2 linked regions of the Daphnia pulex genome follow. The protein of the gene in region 1 interacts with the protein of each later gene in a pairwise test. Links are inferred from orthologs where the notes say so. Each region holds a gene or a part of one and is shown in the gene's direction. Other genes may lie near its edges.

Region 1 (3,758 bases):
ATCTCAGGCGATGATGTTTCCATCGTTCTTTTTCAATTTGAGAACAATGCGGATCGTCTTTGGTTTGTAGACGATCGTGACCCCATCAATGCAACGTGTCTTTTCCTTCCTTTTTTTCCAGACTCGAATGTCATATATTGAAAACCCTCTCGCTTGTGTATCTCTTTGGCGTTATAGTCGCTGTGTATACACAGCAACACGATATCCCGCCGAGAAATGAGAGTCTCCTTCCAAAAAATCATTTTTGAATATTTCAAACCCGTCGTCGCGGTGTTGATCTCTTTCGAGTGCGGTTCGCAGCAATTCTTTTCTTGAATGACTTTTGTTCAACACGAAAAAAGAGAAAAAAGAGTCGTGCGATGCTGTGCGACTTCCATCAAGTCAGTCGAAATAAAAAAGGATAGCTAGACTGAAAGCTTCAGAATAAATATTGAACCAGCTAGCAGCATATAGGCGAATGCGCTCTTTTGAATGTAGATGTCTAGGGTAGACAGTGTAAATCCAACATCAAGCATGCAGCACGGCAGCAATATCTGTCGCCTTTCAGAGTTGATGCCGTATATAGTACTACTACTATACTGTGTGCAGCAGCAACCAAACCCAACTCTCCCGGGCGAGTCTGTGTCAGAGATATATAGTATATAGTGTAGAGTTGCTTGGTCCAACTTCAAACGAGAAAAGAGCCCTGGATGGAATATAAGACGACGAAATGGAGAAAGAGAGAGAAAGTATATGTGTCTATGGTCTTGGATGATGGATTATTCGAGTTATGGATGAGGAGGAGGCTATATAGCTCGCGCAAAACTTTCGCTCGACTCCTACTGTACTACTACATTATCGCTTTCATGCATATACAGAACCGTTTCTCTGCTGGGTTTATTTTATGTATATTTTTTTTGCTTCGCAGATGAGCAGTCTCTAATATCTTCTTGGGGAAAAAAAAAGAAATTCCGAGAATGTCAAGAAATATGGTGGACATAAACGGGAGAAAAAGTAGATTTAATGCGATTAATGGCTCATTGGACGATGGAAAGCGCTCGTGGTGGATGAAGGAATATCTGCCAAATCCCCCATTTCCATAATGCGATTGACTTTTATTGCTTACATTTCCATATTCAACATTTTGGGATTTTTCTGGGTTTTTTTTAAAGACGGGAGCATGTCCGCCGCGCATCCATGCCCGGCGGCAGCAAACGTCATGTTTACTCGTGATCGTTATTCATGGAGAATAATATTTCTTATGAATAATTGAAAATAAATATGGAGCCATCGCTATACATATCGATCCAGTATATTTTTGTTGTCGTAAATCTTCACCCTTTTTTTCCAACGTCTTTAAGCTGTAAGCTCCATTACTCTCTAGTTGTCAGGTGGACTAGGCTAGGGGGTGGGGTATTTTAAGGGAGGGGCGAGCATGTATACGGAAAATCGGCAACGCCGCACCCTTCCTCAACGGAACATTTTCAAAAATCCAAGCGTTTTCCCTCGATACTCGTCGTCGGGATGCCAACTGTAAGCCACAAGTGAACCGTTTTACAAGAAAGCTTCAAATTACAACGGGGATTTCTGTTGTCTTCCATCATTAAGAGTGTTTTATTTTTGGTATGTGAACGTTTTTACTTTTTTTTGCTGTTAAAAATTTTTTCTAAAGCATTTTGTGTGTCACTTTTCTTTGGTTTTCAAATCACACCCAAACAAGTGTCAATTGTAGTGGTGTTCCAAACTGTCTTATTTTCTGGTTGTCAACAGTTAGAAAGAGTCTTAAACATTTTATTTAAGGGTTTGATTGAACTTATTGAGATATTTAAACATTTTTAGTTTTAATTATTGAAAATTGTATAATTAAAAATTTGTTGATGTGTTGTTTCGCCAAACTTCAAACTGGTCCCCCGTTGTGGCATTGACATTAATGGATTCTTATTTAGGTTTTCCCCTAGCCATGTCTGCCAAGCAGGTATCTGTGTTGGCTCAGTATGATGACCTGTGCAGAGGCTTCAATTACTTTGTCAACAGTTCTGAAAAAGGTAAATTGCTCAAGACAATGTGTGGCAATCATTGCATTTGACACTTTCCTTCTTTTTAGAATTCCTCAAGTTTGCCGTTAATCAGGAAGCTTGCCGCCAGAAATGGCTCGAAGCTGAAGCAGAGCTCAAACGTCTGCACAATCAGTTGAATGAAGTCAACAAAATGAATGGCAAATTAGAGCTGCAATACCACCATGCTACTGTTTTGCTGAAAAATGAGATCAAAGTCAGAAAGCAAGTGTCTGACGAGAAAAAGTCTTTGGTATGTTATCTGCAACATTATTATCACTCTTTAATGTTTACCATCAATGTCTCGTCTGCACTTGTTTTACAGGAAAAGCAATTGCACGTTGTACGTGAAATCGTGTCAGCTGAGAAAGATATTCGAGATGAGACACGTGAAAAGCTGGCGATGCTCAGCAACACAGGACGCTACTCGCGTGGCAATTTCGATTCGCCTGGTGACCGATTAAACACAATCAACGAGCTCAACAGCACCGGCTCGCTCTTGGCGTCATTCGACCTGACCACTGAACGCACAGAGGAAGAACTCGAGCTCTCAGTGATGCGTTCCAGTCGGGCACCTCGAGGTAAAAGGACATCGGAAGGAATGTACAATCTCGACAACTCGAAACGATACAAGGCGTCGTCTAATCGCGAGGTACAGTTCAAAGTTTCCCTCGTTTCTGTGACATTAGTTACCAACTCTCTTTTCTTTGTTTGCATTTAAAGAATATCATGGAAGTGTCCGGTCACGAACGCGTGGTTGCCACAACGACAGTGACTGTATCCAAGGGAGGTCCAATCACAGCCACATCTATTATTGAAAACCATCCCGATATGGGCAGGGAAAACGATATCAGCAATGCAACACCTAAAAACCAAAGAAAGCGCAGTTCTAGCGAACCGGGAATCCTACCGAACGCTCCTCCGCAGTGTAAGAGATAAATTGTCTTGATTGCCTGGCCACAACAATGGGAACAACAGCTAATTAATTGTTTGTTGACAAACTAGATTTGATCGAATCATCTTGGGAACTTCCAGATGGCAAGACTCCCGTGGCCATCCGCCGTCCGAGTGCTAATCCGTCGGCTTCAGCGCACTCGACCCACACGCTTGGCGGAACTGCGTACTTGCGCACTATGGCTTCTGGTGGGCGAATCAATCAGCGCCAGCACACCTTCAGCCAGAAAACCATCATCAAACCAGAGAACTGCCTCCCTTGTGGCAACAGGTGAGGAGTGTTGTATTTTCTTTGCGTTGGGAAACGTGCTGGGCTTTAATTTAATTAGTGAAACCTCTTATTGCGCAGGATTAAATTTGGCAAGCCCGCCTTGAAGTGTGTCGAATGTAGAGGAACTTGTCACGTTGATTGCAAGTCCCGCATGCCCATGCCTTGCGTCCCGACTGTTCAAACACCCTCTAATAAGGGATTCGTCGGAACCGTTGCTGATTACGCTCCCAACATCTCTCCTATGATCCCCGGCATTGTCATTCACTGCGTCAACGAAATTGAGCGCCGCGGATTGACAGAGGTTGGCATCTATCGTGTCAACGGTTCCGAAAAGGAAATTAAAGACATGAAGGTAATTTCATCACTAGGAATCGAACCCCAAATTTGATCAGTCCCAAATGACAGCCCTTTGATTTATTCAATTTCAGGAGCGCCTCTTGCGTGGCAAAGGCCAGCCGACTTTGTCTCAAATTGATATTCACGTTGTCACTGGCACGTTG
Region 2 (3,714 bases), on another chromosome or scaffold:
ATTACCTAGGACTTTTAAACGCCAGCCAAGAATTTTACCAAGACAGAAGGAAAACAATCTTCGTCTGCAAAACCCTTCGTAGCCTCGGTACAGTACAGTACTTTATCCGCTAGAGGCACTACAAGCACTCCAAGAACTCGGGGTCAGTAGGGATAGGGCTAAAAGGATAGGAGACAATCAACCAGTCGTCTTTATCTATGACCTGACATTGGGCTCAAAATAATATTTTAAAAATATTTTGAATTGTTTTCAAAATGTTGAGACATTAGAACATTAGAACTCGAAATAAAAATTTTTTGTGTTTGATAATACAATATTTTCAGAACCTGGAACGAAAGACATTATTTAGATTAGGTGAAATTTGGACTCCAAATATTATTTTAATTTATAGAAAATTTGAATTAATAATTAAAATTGATTAACGTGTAGCCTGTTCATTTTAAGTTTATAACAGAAAACTCTGAAAATCGATTGAAATTATTAAAAATTAAATTATAAAAAATTAAAGTATTAAAAATAGCAGGTAAAATAATGGAATTAAAGTATATGCCTCAACAGGCGAGTCACCAGGTGTGCAAACTGAAAGTGTTTGTCATCATCTTAGGGTTTGGTGAGCACCGAGATAAAGAAAGGATCCTCTACCGCAGGTGCATACCAACACACACGTATGCATTGATGTGATGGTGTTTATAACGGTCGCGGAGTCGCGGTAGGATAATGGAAAATTTTCGTATAAACACGGGCAAACTGTCTGGCAACGCTGTATGAAATTTGAAATTTCGGCTTTTTCATTTATGCAAGGCAGTCCAGTGTGGTTTACAGTTGCACAATAAACTCGAAGAAATGGCTCGCCTACTTATTGTTTTTTGAAATTCGATTGTGAGCTCCAGTCTTGTTTGTTATACGGTTGAGAAAAATTTTGGGAGTTTGATTTTCAAACGTTACAACCCGTGGATTTTATTTTAAATCAAAATGATGGAGACAACGTATGACATGTCTGGTTCAGTGTCTGCTTCTATGAATTACCTTACTCTACAAACCCCGTCCAAGAAATCTCGCAGGAATAAAGAGGATTCTCATCCAGGTATAAAAATTTTTACTATCATGTAGAACTGTCACTTCTATTAAATATTTTTGTAAATATTTCAGTTATTACATCCAAGATATGTTTAGTGGGAAGAGTGTGTGATGTGAAAGGGGTTCAAGAAGCTGCCGAAGTAAGTTTTTATACATTTAAAATGTCAAAGTTGTTATTTGTAAAAATGTACTTTCTAGAGTTTTGGAGTACCAGTATTCCATTCAGAAGATGGTCTTGAATTTGTTAACCCTCAGCATGACACAGTGTTTGTTCTGTATGAGTTTTCCGATGAAGTGTTTGAGGTTCTGTACAAGAAGGAATGCAGGATTCTGGGCTACTCAGCTTTGCTTGACATAGTTTCTAAGAAGTATTTTATGCCTGAACTTGATCGGCCATTGTTTTCTATTTCAATGGAGAATGTAGTATCCTGCTTCACTGGCTTTAGAAATCGAGAGGAAGTGGTGAGTTGCTTTAAAAGAAATGCAATTTTCCAATCATTTAACAATTGGAATAATGTTTTACCATCACTAGAACACACTGGTCTCTTGTATCCATCACATGGGTGGCAGCATTCGAAAGGAATTTGACTGTAACAAAATCACCCACCTTATTGCCAATAAAGTTGGAGGAGAGAAATATCAGTATGCAGTCACATTCAATATTCCAGTTATGAGTGCTTCGTGGGTCCACTTAGCGTGGGAAAAACGTCACGATCTAAGTGTTCGTGCCATTGACTCCACAATGGTATTATTTCATTGTCATTATTGAAATTTATTTACCACATCAAATATTTTCCGTTTTGCAGCAAACGAACAACGCACTCAAGATTTTTGAGGGCACCAATGTTTGCTGGATAGGTATTAATGACGAGGAGGTTACTCAAATGAACGAAATTTTGACTACCAACGGAGGATCTGTAACTACATTGGATGATCCTAACTGCACGCATGTGGTAAGTTTCATGTCAATAAGATTTACAATGGTGGAATTTTACGAAATCCTTTTAATAGGTAATAGACCCCCTTGGAGTTGGAAACATTCCAGAGAAGCTACCCAGTAAAGCTATGTTGGTTGAAGTTAAATGGTTTTGGGTTTCAATTCAAATGGATATTTGTGCCAGTGAAAAACTTTATCCTTATAAAGAGGTAATAATTGATATTCTTTTGTTTACTCAACGCTTCTAAAAACCCGGGATTTTTACAGACTCATTTGACGAGCCCAAGGAATGGGGTATTGTCACCCACAACTCCAGGATCTCGAAACCGCAAGCGTAAACGCTTGAGAGACACAGTGTCTCAACTTGCTGCTCAAGGAGGATCGCCTGGCTTACTTCAAGTTCCATCGTCTGGTCATGGTACAAATGTTTATTGCTTGGAGTTTTTCCCCCTTTTAATGACTAACGAAAATGTTGTTTATTCATAGACACTCATCGCCGCCGTTCCTCGATTAGTGAATCTGGCTTACTCAGCCTAAGTGGATCGTTTCTAGATGCCACGAGTCCCGAGAAAGTGGGGGGTCAAGGTGATCTCACCATTTCCGTTCCTACACCACAGGATCTCAAAGCAATGTCCCCTCGACATCAGGTGTTCATGGAATTGTTGCATACGGAAATGAATTATGTGGAAATACTGGAGACAATTGTTGAGGTTTGGTGTTATTTATTGCGCGTTATTTACCACAATATATAAATTCAACATTTCATCCCTAGGTGTTCAAAAAGCCACTTGAGGATCCTAGCCAAGTTGGAGGCTCTTTGCTTGATCCCACGGAGGTCAAAATCATTTTTGGCAATCTACCGCCTATCCATGAAATCCATTTCGAGTTACTTGTGCAACTTAAAAATACCGCACTCAACTGGAGAGAAGACATCAGCGTCGGAGCTTTAATTTTGAAGCATGTAAGTAAAGAATTTTCGCATACCCAGCATATTCGTTTACATAACTGTATATTTTACTTTTGTAGTCGCATGACTTGGTTAAGGCCTACCCTCCTTTTGTCAACTTTTTTGAGCAAACCAAAGAAGTGTTGAGCATGAGCGACCGATCGAAGCCACGTTTCCACGCATTCCTTAAACTGGGTCAGAGTAATCCCAAATGTCGACGGCAGAGCCTACAAGAGCTTCTTATTCGTCCTGTTCAACGACTACCATCCATTAGTTTGCTTTTGAACGATTTACTCAAGCAGACCCCAAAAAGCAATCCGGATTACGGTGAACTGGAGAAAGCTCTGTCCACGATCAAAGAAGTAATGACGCACATCAATGAAGACAAACGGAGGACTGAGGGTCAAGTTGTCCTTTTTGACATTTTCAACGACATCGAAAACTGTCCTGTAAGCTTCGTTAAATTTTGTCATTTAAATAATTTTTCTTTTAATTAAAATAGATGTTAAATTTCAACTCATTTTTACATTATTTCAAATTGAAATTTAGGCACATATTGTTTCTTCCCATCGTAGCTTTGTATCCCAATGCGACGTTATTGAATTGGGCGATGGTATTGTTGGTCGTGGTGGGCAGCTGACACTCTTTTTATTCTCCGACGTCATTGAGGTAAATTTAAAGCCATTTGCTTAGTTCGCATATTTTATTTTTAACTTTTTGTATATTTATTTATTTATTATTATTTTTTTGTATA

Evidence for each region. The genes of interacting proteins can lie anywhere in the genome.
Region 2: the proteins of rac GTPase-activating protein 1-like (region 1) and protein ECT2-like interact in a two-hybrid assay, tested with the Drosophila melanogaster proteins (2 studies listed by BioGRID). The link is inferred for Daphnia pulex from reciprocal best matches to the Drosophila melanogaster genes tum and pbl.

What each region holds. Positions count from the first base shown.
Region 1 is NC_060028.1:9,420,930-9,424,687, reverse strand, and holds the start of rac GTPase-activating protein 1-like, read left to right. Parts: upstream 1-1,457; 5' UTR 1,458-1,602; intron 1,603-1,925; 5' UTR 1,926-1,939; coding exon 1,940-2,024; intron 2,025-2,083; coding exon 2,084-2,286; intron 2,287-2,358; coding exon 2,359-2,685; intron 2,686-2,756; coding exon 2,757-2,961; intron 2,962-3,038; coding exon 3,039-3,258; intron 3,259-3,336; coding exon 3,337-3,610; intron 3,611-3,686; coding exon 3,687-3,758.
Region 2 is NC_060024.1:8,173,775-8,177,488, forward strand, and holds the start of protein ECT2-like, read left to right. Parts: upstream 1-777; 5' UTR 778-972; coding exon 973-1,084; intron 1,085-1,149; coding exon 1,150-1,217; intron 1,218-1,275; coding exon 1,276-1,539; intron 1,540-1,609; coding exon 1,610-1,822; intron 1,823-1,883; coding exon 1,884-2,030; intron 2,031-2,088; coding exon 2,089-2,223; intron 2,224-2,281; coding exon 2,282-2,432; intron 2,433-2,500; coding exon 2,501-2,724; intron 2,725-2,786; coding exon 2,787-2,975; intron 2,976-3,040; coding exon 3,041-3,409; intron 3,410-3,509; coding exon 3,510-3,629; intron 3,630-3,714.